Regions from separate parts of the Mus musculus genome. Here regions 1 and 2 are each reported to be linked to region 3. Evidence: microRNA targets listed by miRTarBase, many of them from high-throughput screens and not tested one by one. Region 3 holds a microRNA gene; each other region holds the end of a gene's coding sequence.

Evidence for each region. Region 3 holds the annotated microRNA mmu-miR-302a-3p (UAAGUGCUUCCAUGUUUUGGUGA, at 1,340-1,362, opposite strand). A microRNA usually pairs through its seed, bases 2 to 8, with sites in the 3' UTR of a target mRNA and lowers its output. Matches are read on the target gene's strand: a 7mer-m8 pairs with bases 2 to 8, a 7mer-A1 pairs with bases 2 to 7 and ends in A, and an 8mer does both.
Region 1: miRTarBase lists Chek2 as a target of mmu-miR-302a-3p. Seed matches in the 3' UTR shown: 7mer-m8 at 643-649.
Region 2: miRTarBase lists Car5b as a target of mmu-miR-302a-3p. Seed matches in the 3' UTR shown: 7mer-m8 at 985-991 and 7mer-A1 at 1,639-1,645.

Annotation. Positions count from the first base shown.
Region 1 is chr5:110,873,055-110,877,291 of GRCm38, forward strand. It overlaps Chek2 (checkpoint kinase 2), which reads left to right. Exons shown (of 15, transcript NM_016681.4): 15 at 426-1,086. The coding sequence ends at 512. Among named protein-coding and RNA genes, the nearest start is that of Ttc28, 4.6 kb to the right of the region's middle.
Region 2 is chrX:163,975,235-163,979,471 of GRCm38, reverse strand. It overlaps Car5b (carbonic anhydrase 5b, mitochondrial), which reads left to right. Exons shown (of 8, transcript NM_181315.4): 8 at 102-2,650. The coding sequence ends at 281. It overlaps Gm38561 (a long non-coding RNA gene), which reads right to left. Exons shown (of 4, transcript XR_878297.3): 2 at 2,673-4,237. Among named protein-coding and RNA genes, the nearest start is that of Gm38561, 19 kb to the right of the region's middle.
Region 3 is chr3:127,542,901-127,546,900 of GRCm38, reverse strand. It overlaps Mir302a (microRNA 302a), which reads right to left and starts at 1,405; the gene lies at 1,337-1,405. It overlaps Larp7 (La ribonucleoprotein domain family, member 7), which reads left to right. Exons shown (of 13, transcript NM_138593.2): 5 at 83-247; 6 at 332-425; 7 at 498-854; 8 at 931-1,075; 9 at 2,623-2,747; 10 at 3,745-3,869. It overlaps Gm51018 (predicted gene, 51018), which reads right to left and starts at 1,812. Exons shown (of 2, transcript NR_146435.1): 1 at 1,755-1,812; 2 at 1-267. It overlaps Mir302b (microRNA 302b), which reads right to left and starts at 1,673; the gene lies at 1,600-1,673. It also overlaps Mir302c, Mir302d and Mir367.

The DNA.
Region 1 (4,237 bases), not on the chromosome of region 3:
GGATCATATTCTGAGGAACTCATCTCAAATGGAGGCATTTTAAATAGAAAGTGCATTTAACGATAATAGCTGGTGTGGCACAGTAGCGTGTGTGAGCTCCCTGGTAACCCTGTGGGAGCCGGGAGCTCTGGCTGCTTTACAATCATACCTCACCCAGAATTTTGCTAGGAAAGATCCAATTTGAACTTGCTTTTGTGTCACTTGAAAGGTTTTTTTTTTTTTTTTAAGTGGCTGTACATTTATTAGTGGTTAGAAATCGCCAGGGAGCATGGATAAGCATCTTGATTCCAGAGGTGTGTGAGGAGGATTCGGTTGTCATGACAACTAGTCATTTCCATGAAATGCCCCTAGTTTACTGAACTATGAGGAGCTTTGATAGAAGCTGTGCTTTCTCTTAAACACTTCTCCTTTTGCTTTATTTCCAGACTTCCAGTCAAAAGCGGCCCCTGGAACTGGAGGTGGAGGGTATGCCGAGCACAAAACGCCTGTCTGTGTGTGGGGCTGTGTTGTGAGCTTTGAATGTGAAAGAAATGTGCTTCCTTCCACGCTCCAATTGTCTTCTCCATCTTGACATCTTTTTTTTATATGTATATATTTTTTAAAAAATATAGCCAGGCAGTTGTGGCCCACTCCTTTAATCCCAGCACTTGGGAGGCAGAGGCAGGCAGATTTCTGAGTTCAAGGCCAGCCTGGTCTACAGAGTGAGTTCCAGGATAGCCAGGACTACACAGAGAAACCCTGTCTTGGAAAAAAAAACAAACAAGAAACAAAACAAAATAGCCTATATGATGGAACAATTGCTTTTCCATCACAGATACACGATTAAAAAACGTGGAAATCTGGGCTGATTGTTTGATGACCTGCACTTTAGATTTCTTTCTTTCTTTCTTTCATTTTAAGAAAAATGTTAGGGGGTGGTGTTGAGAGATTAACACCACTCCTGTTGAGGGCTGCAGTTCAGTTCCCAGCACCCATGTAACTACATTTCTGGATCGGATGCCCTCACCTGGCCTCTCTGGTCACCTACTACACATGTGTTCATGTACACAGAAACACATAATCATTAAAAAGAATATTCTAAAACAATGTTAGTAGTTTGTTGTGGCTTTTCATCTGGATCCTCACATTGCCAGTCTGCCCTATCAGGATGTCACTCTGGTTTTAGGCTCATCCGTCTAAATACAAATTCTAAAAGTCCCTTAGAAGGTCCAAGTCCCACTGGCCATGGTAATCTACACCTATGATCCCAGCACTCTAGAGGCAGGACAATGTTTGAGTTGACTTTGAGGCCTGTCTGATCTTTAGAGCAAATTTTAGGACAGCCAGGGTACACAGAGAAACAATCTCTTTCTCTAAACTTTCTCTTTTATCTTTAAACTCTTTTTTTCTCTGTCTAAACTTTTTCTCTGTCTAAACTCTTTCTCTCTCTCGTTTCTCTATCTCCCAACTTTCTTTTTCTCTCTCTAAACTCTCTAAACTTTCTATTTCTAAACTCTTTTTTTCTATCTCTAAACTTTTTCTCTGTCTAAACACACTCTCTCCCTCTCTCTCCCTCTCTCTTAACTTTTCTTTCTCTTTCTCTAAACTTTTTCTCTTTTCATCTCTAAACTTTTTTCTCTCTCTAAACTTTCTATCTCCAAACTCTCTTTTTCTCTCTAAACTCTTTTTCTCTCTCTAAACATACTCTCTCCCTCTCCTTTTCCCTCTCCCTCTCCCTCTCCCTCTCTCTCTCTCTCTCTCTCTCTCACACACACACACACACACACACACACACACACACACACACACACACACACACTCAGTCCCTTGGAAAGAAAAGGGCATCTGGATGTTGGGTGATTTGTACTGGCTGGCTGCCAAGGAGCCCATGGTGCTGCTGCCTGTTATAGGCCAGTCTGAAATTCATATCCCTTAGGGTTCTCACACTCCTGTAATCCATCCCAGACCTTGAGAAGCAGAAATAGTAAGATATTGACTTTGAGGGCAGCCTGAACTGTATAGTGAGACTTTTGCCTTAAAAAATGGATAAAACACAGAAATTATGCTCAGTCCTGTACAGTTTACATCTCTAAACTCCTGGGGCTACATTAAATTCAGATATTAATATCTCCCCCACCCCCACCCCACCAACAGTTTTAGGCAGGTGATAGAGTGCTGCTTTAAATTGGGTCCTCCAGCCATCCATGTGGTAGACATATAGAGAAGTAAGGGGGGAGATAGAGATGTCTCTCTAGTGGTTAAGAGCATTGGTTGTCATGCTGTCACTGCGGGTCATGTCTGGGTCTGTGGTCATGTAGTAGCAGGGGCCTGTTGATTTCTTGGATCATATTACTACATAGACCATGCAGACCTCCCTGGTCTGGGCTGCTGTGTGGGAGAGACCTCATAGATATCCAAGGGCTGATATCCAGATATCCAGAGCTGGCCCCACCCCTGACTGGCTGCAGCAATCAGGAGAGCAGGCCTTCCACCTTGCAGGAGCAGCACAGAGCTGGCCCCACTGCCATGATGGGACATGGGTGCAGTGGAGATGCCCTCCCCCATCCCTCAACACCTGAGGCAGGTCCTAGGTCATGAGAACAGGCAGGACTTGGGAGAGTGGCCTTGCACCTTGTCTGGGCAACAGCCAGCTCTGAGGGAGTGAGTGGGAGAGCTGGCCCAGCCCCTCACTGCCAGCTGCAGTATTGGGTGAGCTAGCAAGGGCAGTGCTAGAAAGCTTGCCCTGGTGGTGCAGATATGAGAGAGCTGGTGGGCTAGCCATCTGTCTCAGCTACCACCCAGATCCAGCGCTTTGAGTTGTCCCACCCCAAAATCTAATTCATCTATGAGCTGCTGGAGCATGTGCAAGGGCTGGTCCTACAGATCCAAAGCTGCAGGATTTCCATGATCCAGGCCAACAACAGGATAACTAAGAGGAGTCCTGTGAGGATCCAGTATTGATAGTGTTGCAGAAGCAAGAAGACTCAAACCAGACCAGTGACTAAATGCAATGAACATTTGCAAGATGTGTGGACAAGAGGGTAGGTATACTGTAGAACACACCCTGGCACACTATAGTGTCCGTGTCAAAATGCTCTCCATGGGGTGTGTTTGTGGGGAAGTTGCAAGGGAAGAGGGGGATGTGAAGGGACGGGGAGATGAGTGAGATTGGGGTGCAGGTGCATAATGTGAGACTCACAAAAATAAATAAATAAATAAAAAGTTGAAAAGCATTGGCTGCTCCTCCAAGAGCACCTGAGTTCAATTCCCAACATCCTTATGGTACCTCAAAACTGTAGCTAAGCAGCATGGTGGCGGCCCACGCCTTCAATCCTTGCACTTGGAGGCAGCTGCAGGTGGATCTGAGTTTGAGGCTAAGCCTGGTCTACAGAGTGAGTTCCAGGACAGCCAGGACTGAGAAACTCTGTCTCCATAAACCAAACATTAAACCAAAACCAAAAGCAAACTCCATCTTGAGTTGAACTCATCTTAATTTTGAGACCTTTTAAATAAAAAAAATGCATTTAGTAATATTCCAATAATGCACACAGAGCTCCCCTGGAAACTCCATCCATGATCACAGTGCTGTCTGCTATGACAGAGGAGGCGGCTGCTGTTGCAATCAAGGCCATGGCAAAATAACTGGCTTCCAGGGTGGTGGTGGTGGTGGCAGCAGCAGTGATCCATGAGCCTACAGAGGCCCCTCCCCCAGTCAGGTTCTGCTCTGGCTGGGACCTTGGCTGGACTCCTGTTCAATTTATTTGATGTTTTATTATGGTTTTCCTCACCCCTTCAAACTGTCGGGGAGACCCTGCCCTTGTCCTAGCTACCTTGTCCAGGAATGAGGGAGCCATGGCCTTGGTGAAGCTACCTGCTTCTCTCGCAGCCCTGATGGGGGCAAAGGGATTTGGGTACTGATGTGTTAGAATAGCAGCTAGTGTCTGACATTGCTTACCAGGCCAAAGCAGTTCCATGTGTAAGAGGTTTTACTGGGGACAGAGAGGGGAGAGAGAGAAAGACAAAGGGGAAAAGAAAAAAAGCGAAAGGGGGTACCCAGGTGAGTGTGGGAAGCAGGGCTCTGGGAAGGTATGTGGTAGCTATAGCAACAGGTGACACCTATGTGTGACATCCTGAGTTTGGAGTGGGTCTGCAAAACTGGTCTTTGGATGCCAACAGGCACTGCTTGTGGTTTAGGTTCCCCTATCCTTTTTTTCTTTTTAATTCAATTTGGAATCAGAAAAAATATATATATTTAGTA
Region 2 (4,237 bases), not on the chromosome of region 3:
AGTGAGACTCATGACAAACAAACAAACAAACAAAAAAGAAAGTAATTTATCCATATACTAAAGCTTGTTTCTGATTGATATTCGTAATGTTTTGTTTCTAGCTTGAGCAGTTTCGGACCCTGCTTTTCACTTCTGAGGGAGAGAAAGAGAAAAGAATGGTGGACAACTTCCGCCCTCTTCAGCCGCTGATGAATCGCACAGTCCGCTCATCCTTCCGCCATGACTATGTGCTCAATATACAAGTGAAGCCCAAGCCAACAGCCAGCGAAGTCACCCCCTAAGACAGCATTCTTCAGCAGCATCTTGTTTTAATGACTATTAGCTTAAAATTTTAACTAGATTATTTTAAAACACAGCATTTAATAATACTTATATGTATACATTTCTATTTTTTTCTTCCTTTTTTGGGTAACATTTCAAAATTCCTACTCTTGTAAAGCAAAGACCGGGAGACAAACGAAGAAAAACAAAAACCTGTACCCAAATAACGTCAATCTGAGGTCACCCTTTCTTTCTTTCTTTCTTTCTTTCTTTCTTTCTTTCTTTCTTTCTTTCTTTCTTTCTTCTTTCTTTCTTTCTTTCTTTCTTTCTTTCTTTTTTTTTTTTGAGACAGGGTTTCTCTGTGTAGTCTTGGCTAGCCTGGAACTCACTTTGTAGACCAGGCTGGCCTCGAACTCAGAAATCCACCTGTCTCTGCCTCCCAAGTGCTGGGATTAAAGGCGTGCGCCACCACGCTCAGCAGATTTACTTATTATTATATGTAAGTATGATGTAGCTGTCTTTAGACACACCAGAAGAGGGTGTCAGGTCTCATTATGGATGGTTGTGAGCCACGGTTGCTGGGAATTGAACTCAGGACTTTCAGAAGAGCAGTCAGTGCTCTTAACTGCTGAGCCATCTCTCCAGTCCAGAGGTCACCCTTTCTTATGACAGCGTTAAGGCAGAGGAATCTGCCAGGCAGTGGTGGCGCACGGCTTTAATCCCAGCACTTGGGAGGCAGAGACAGGTGGATTTCTGAGTTCGAGGCCAGCCTGGTCTACAAAGTGAGTTCCAGGACAGCCAGGGCTACACAGAGAAACCCTATCTCGGGGAAAAAGAAAAAAAAAAGGCAGAGGAATCTTCATTAACTGTTAAATCTCTCTAATCTATTTCTCAGACAGTCAGAAAGACAATTTAGTTTCCTTTTGGTTAAATGGGGGCTTAATATGAGTGCCTGATCTTGATTTTTCTGTTTGGGTCTAATTCAGGAGCTTAGCTCACAACAAGAGGTTCTTGTGAATTTGATTTTAAAATGCCCCCCTTTTGTTCAAACTGGTGAATTGTCTCACCTTTCATTGTTGGTCAAGTTCTTAGCTACCATCATTTGGAGGTGAATGGCTCTCAAAGTTTAGGTGTAAACTTCCTGGTTTTAGAGTATTTCATGTCTTTTTTAAAAGAGAAGGTCTCATCTGTGTAGCCCTGGCTGTCCTGGAAATCACTATGTAAACCAGTCTAGACTTGAACTCACAGAAGTCTGTCTGTCTTTGCCTCCCAAGTGCTGGGAATAAAGGCTTGTGCCACCAAGGCCAGCTTTCATTATATTTGCTCTTTGACTGATAATAATATGTGTCATTGGAATATTAACAGAACATGCAAGTTGCACTTATAGCAATCTGTTAGTAATTGTGTTTTTATATCTGAAATTGTGTATGTGTGTGTGTTTTGAGACAGTGTCCCACTCTGTAGTCCAGGCTGGCCTGGAACTCATAGTTAAACTTTTGTCTCAGTCTCTCAAGTGTACAAGGCACCACACTCAACGATTATATTTGCCTTCCTTGGCTATCCTTTTTATTTGTGAAACAAGGTATCCTTTAGCTCAGGCTGTATTAGAAGGTGCTGTGTAGCAGGAGCTGCTTTGAAGCTTCAGGTCCTCCTGCTTCCACATCCCAACTGCTAGCATTGCAAGTGTGCGCCACTCCGCTCAGCTTCAGCTCTCTTCCAGTGTTCATAGCTGTGTAGAATCACAAGTAGGGATTACAGTCAAACTGTTAAAAACTACCAATGGTGGTGCTACTTACCACACAAAGCCCAGGCTTCTCAGAAAACGTCTGTGGGAGCCCAGACCAGCAAGTCCGAGCTGAATGCTGGCCATAGTTTTAGGTATATTTTGTTTCAAAACTTGGGTGTGAATTTTTGTATTCATACTTCTCAATGAGTATGTTTATACTAATCTTTAGTTGCTATTACTAGCATATGATATGTCTACTTATTATCAATTTACTGTATAGAAAATACATTTGGTAGTCATGGGCTGGCTCAGTGGGTAAAGACACTTGCCATGTGAACCTAAAGACCTGAGCTTGATCCCCAGAGCTCACATAACTAACCCCACCAAATTGCTGTCTGACCAAGCATCTTTCATCCCATACATACAACCACATACACATTATAAATGCACACAATAATAAATAAAACTTTGGGGGACGGTTCAAGACAGGGTTTCTCTGGATAGCCCTGGCTGTTCTGGAAACTCACTCTGTAGACCAGGCTGGCCTAGAACTCAGAAATCCACCTGCCTCTGCCTCCCAAGTGCTGACATTAAAGGTATGCGCCGCCACTGCCTGATCTAAATAAAACTTTAAAAGAATAAAAAAGAAGCTATATTTTGTAATCACAAGAAAAGAAGAGCTTACTGTTTCTAGAAGTTCTTTTGCATTTTTCCAAGTCAGATGCTTTACCATAGAGTTTGGGATTGTATAGGGAGTATGTCTCAGGGTTATTACTGCTGTGAGGAAGCACCATGAGCAAAGAACCTTGGGGAGAAAGAGGGTTTGTTTGGTTTACTCTTCCACACACTGCTCATCATTGAAGGATGTCAGGGCAGGAACTCAAGCAGGCTTGGATGCAGGAGCTCATGCAGAGACCATGGATGGTGCCGATTACTGCCTTGCTTGCCCTGGCTTGCTCACCCTGCTTTCTTATAGAACCCGGGACTACCAGGGGTGACATCACCCACAAGGGACTGGACTCTTCTCTATTGATCACTAATTAAGAAAAACATGCCTTACAGCTGGATCTCATGGAGGCATTTCCTCAATCAAGTTTCCCTCCTTTCAGATGACTCTAGCTTGTGTCAAATTGACATAAAAGTAGCCAGGACAAAGCATATACAGAACGTTCTAATGATTGAAGTGCTAGAGGACAGAAATATTTCACGCTGGATTTATAGAAATACATCTCAAATCATCTAGTAGTCAATTATTTTTAATATTAGTTGCATTGTTCATACACTGTTACATAGAATACAATAGCATTTCCAGCAATATTTTTCTTTTATGCATAAGGGTATTTTTCCTGCATGCCATGTATGTCTGTGCACCACATGCATGCTGGGTGCCCAAAAAGACCAGAAGACAATGTTGGATCCCCTGTAACTGGAGTTACAAATGGTTATTAGCTATCTTGTGGGTTCCTCTTTAAGAGCGTCAAGTGCTCTAAACTTAGGAACCATCTTTTCAGTACCCTTTAATATTTTATAAAATTGATTTTATGTGCTTATTAGCCAAGGTGTGTGTGTGTGTGTGTGTATGTGTGTGTGTGTGTGTGTGTGTGTGTGTGTGTGTTGGGGCTGGAAAAGCATGCTGCTGAAGTTCTATTTTTTGGCTGGAATATAAAAATTGTATCATATTTCCTGAATATATTTTCTATAGTACAAGCTATGATTACACCAGCTCTTTGGCCAACATGATAGTCACATAGACTTAGAGTAATTAGAATTGTAAAAGCCTCTGTGTTCAGCATATGCCTCCCTTGTGGTGGTATGAAGCTAAACCATGCACATTCTATACTATTACTTTTTATTACTGAAAACACACATAAGTGTATATCCAAATGCAATAGTCACAGAATTTTATCTCATTCTTTTGTTAATTGTCCAGTTCAAAAATTAAGAATGATTCTACTACTTAGTATATAACTCTCCCCCTAAGCACCATAATCACCTAAATTTATTAGATTATCATTTTGAATTGGATATTGTATTTGTTTACATTTCAAATGTTATCTCCCCTTTCTGGGTTTCCCCTCTGCAAACCCCCATCCCATCCCCCCTTACTCTGCTTCTATGAGGGTGTTCCCCCACCCACTCCTGCCGCATCACCCTAGCATTCCTCTACACTGCGCCATCAAGCCTTCACATGATCAAGGGCCTCCCCTCACATTGATGGCAGATAAGACCCCTTCAGCTCCTTCAGTCCTT
Region 3 (4,000 bases):
TAATTCTAGTTCATTTATTTATAATTCATTTATTGGTAAAAATGTAGGAACTTTAAAATGTTCATACCATGATTTATTACAGGAGTTGCTCCCCAAAAATGTTACTCATAGCTGGATTGAGAGAGTATTTGGGAAATGTGGCAATGTGGTTTACATAAGTATTCCACATTACAAGTCTACTGGGGATCCTAAGGGATTTGCCTTTGTGGAATTTGAAACAAAAGAGCAAGCAGCAAAAGCCATTGAGGTACGTACTTCTGTGGGACCCTGAAAAGTAAAGAAAAAGCACAGGGTTAACAAGAGTAACAAATTCTGCAATCAATCTTTTCAGTTTCTGAACAACCCACCAGAAGAAGCACCTAGAAAGCCTGGTATATTTCCCAAGACAGTGAAAAACAAGCCCATCCCTTCCTTACGAGTAGCAGGTGAGTGCTTACTTAGAGTGGCCAAGTAAACAATAAACTATTATGACTGTAAATAATAAAATCTTGTTACAGAAGAGAAGAAAAAGAAGAAAAAGAAAAAAGGCAGAATAAAGAAGGAAGAGAGTGTGCAGGCCAAAGAGTCGGCCGTGGACAGCAGCAGCTCGGGCGTGTGTAAAGCCACGAAGAGACCAAGGACGGCCTCTGAGGGCTCCGAAGCAGAAACCCCGGAAGCTCCAAAGCAACCTGCAAAGAAAAAGAAGAAGCGGGACAAGGTGGAAGCATCCAGCTTACCTGAAGCCAGGGCAGGGAAGAGGGAGAGGTGCAGCGCCGAGGACGAAGACTGCCTCCCCCCAAGGCCAAAAGCTAAGAAAAGGGCTCAGAAGGATGGCGTCGGCCAAGCAGCTTCCGAGGTCTCCAAGGAGAGCAGAGGTACCGTGGCAGTAGGGTTACAAATGTTTTAACCAGTTTAACCACAACAACGGACTTACGGAAATCTTTTTTCTAGACTTAGAATTCTGCTCTACTGAGGAGGAGAAGGAGACAGACAGAAAAGGTGACTCACTCTCAAAGGTGAAGAGGAAGCATAAGAAGAAACACAAGGAGAGACATAAGATGGGCGAGGAGGTTATACCATTGAGAGTGCTGTCCAAGTAAGTGGCCACTGACACAGGTCCATCACCATTGCTAAAGTGCAATTCCAATTTCTATTCAACAGAGTTGCATGTTAGCAACAGTGACGGCCTTGGTCTATCTATATGCAGCACAATGAAGATTAAGTAGGAGCCACCACACTCAAACATGGAAGCACTTATTTTTAAATGCACAGCAAGTGCCTCCATGTTAAAGTAAAGGAGGCCCCTTAAGCAGACTTGAGTGGTCTTTACAAAGGCATGAATATAAAGGAAAACATACCATCACCAAAACATGGAAGCACTTACTTTCTTAGGTCTAAAGCAAGTACAACCACGTTTAAGTGGTGGGAAGCCCAGTCAATAACTCCCTTAACCTACAGCATCTTAGAGAAAATGTTGAACAGTTTAAGACACCCCCACTGAAACATGGAAGCACTTGCTTTTGTTTAACACAGCAGGTAACCCCATGTTAAAGCAGAGGGGACTCCCATCAGACTCTGAATTAAAAGGCTAGCTTTCTTATTCCAGAGTTTCTTGAATTCACTTCTACTAAAACATGGAAGCACTTACTCTTCGATGAGACAGAAAGCATTCCCATGTTAAAGTTGAAGGGAACCCACCCACAAGGCAACTAGTTAAAACAGAAGAGCAAACCCACAGGAAAGTAAAGTGACCCGGTTACAGACATAAGCTTTACCTCCTTTACCTTCGTGACCGCCTCCCAAAGAGTCCTGTTCTGTCCTCGGAGGGTGAAAGACGCCGACTTTAGACCACTTGTATTTATACTACTCCTAACTCCTGAGTTCCTTTTGGCTTTCTATCTCTGAGAATCATTACAAGACCCTTTGTTATTTTAATGTATCAGCTCTGGGGAAAGTAGGTCCTGGGGACCTGGGTAGGTCTGGATTTTTTTTTTTTTTTTCCTTTTTTGAAGTAAACAGATGTCAATGTTAACTGCTAAAACCATTACCACAAGATATCCTCCTCTTTAAAAAAAATCTCCTATCTGCCCGTTTGATGGCACAGATTAGGGTAACAATGAGCGCTCCCACAGAGCCAGGAGATGCATTGTGCTTCTCTGGAGGAGCCCTAGCTGTTTGAAGATACATCTACATGTTAAATGTATGTAAATAAATAAATTGCTTCCATGGGGTGTTTTTTTCTTCTTAGAAATTCCTTTTGATTCAAGTAAATCCTAAGGAATGTTAGCTCTCAAATTGGAAGCAATTTGAGAAATCTTTAAGTTTTAGTCTCTTACTTTTTCTCCAGGTTGCCTGATTTAGTGATTTTACTTAATAGAAGTGACTCAAAAGTGATTTTACAATTAAATATTAGAAGCAACCAGGAAACTCAAGCATTTTCCTTGCCTGTTAAGACAAAGAAACTTCCTTTGTGTGTTTGCTAGGTAGCTTTAACAAATGGCTTAACAAATAATGTAAACATATGCCTTAAAAGAAAGAAAAGTCAGAAAGACTTGCAGTTCCTATGAACATTGTGTTTAGATCAACTTCAGATTTCTAGTTGGGTCGTCTTATCACTGTAATGGCTCAATTTTTGTTTTTCAGGACTGAATGGATGGATTTGAAGAAAGAGTATTTGGCACTGCAAAAAGCTAGCATGGCTTCTCTAAAAAAAACAATATCTCAAATCAAATTGGAATCAGAAATGGAAACAGACTGTAAAGCGCCTAGTAAGTGTGCAGTGGGGAACGGAGAGGGTGACGCTCATGTAATGGAAGAGTGGGCTTTAGTCTATGAATGGTTTCAGGGGCAGTTTTATTGCAGTGATAGAGTGGCTTCCTCAGTTTTAAGCTGAACCATTTCCAAAAACAAAATGTTTTAAGAAAAGTAAAAATGTGAAGTTTTGTATTACACACTAGGTTTTAATAGTCTGTTTATTCTTCTCTACTTACCTGCGAGCTCACTTGTGAGTGCCTGGAGAGAGAAATAAAGACTGCAGGCTTAGTGGATGATGTTCAGCAAGCAGGAGCATATTAGAGCACTACTCTCGTTCATTGTAATATTAGTAAAGGTTTTAAGTTCTTGCAAATTATACAAATTCTCATATTTGAACAGTATACTTTGTGGCTGGAGAAATGGCTCAGTGGTTAAGCACACTGACTGCTCTTCCAGAGGTCCTGAGTTCAAGTCCTAGCAACCACATGGTGGGATCTGATACCCTATCCTGGAGTGTCTGAAGACAGCTGCAGCGTCCTCATAAATAAAATAAATAAACAAATTTTTTAAAAAATGAAATTGTTGAAGCCAGGCAGTGGTGGCTCATGCCTTTGATCCCAGCACTGGGGAGACAGAGGCAGGCGGATTTCTGAGTTCAAGGCCAGCCTGGTCTACAAAGTGAGTTCCAGGACAGCCAGGGCTATACAGAGAAACCCTGTCCCGAAAAACCAAAAAAAAAAAAAAAAAAGAATAGAATACTTTGAATAGTCTTATGTTCATATAGGCATACATCTTTATTAAGGCTTTATTCTTTGGTTTAGAGGTATAATGCCTTTTGTGCCATGTTGATTCCAATGGGCAGTGTGATTCCTTAATATTATTTACAATTCTGAGATCCTTAAACTAGCCTGAGAAGTCGCTGCTGCTGCTGCTGCTGCTGTTGTAGAATAGTGCTCCTCATGTGAAATGTCAGGAGTGGGAAGGTTACCTCTGGCTCCTTCCTCTTCACAGCAGCAGGCAGTGGTCAAGAGTGTTCCACCCAGGAGAAGGTCAGTGCACAAGGCCCACAGTTTGTGACTGGAGTGATTGTGAAGATTGTGAGCGGAGAGCCTCTACCGGGCAGGAAACAAGTCAAGGTAATATTTATGAACCCCATGTGAAATGTTTTCAAAATAGTATGGAAAACAAAGCAACTCCAGTCAGAATTTGTACCTTTCTGATAAACTACTTGTAGAGTCCATGGTAACACTGATAACTCTTAAGTTTA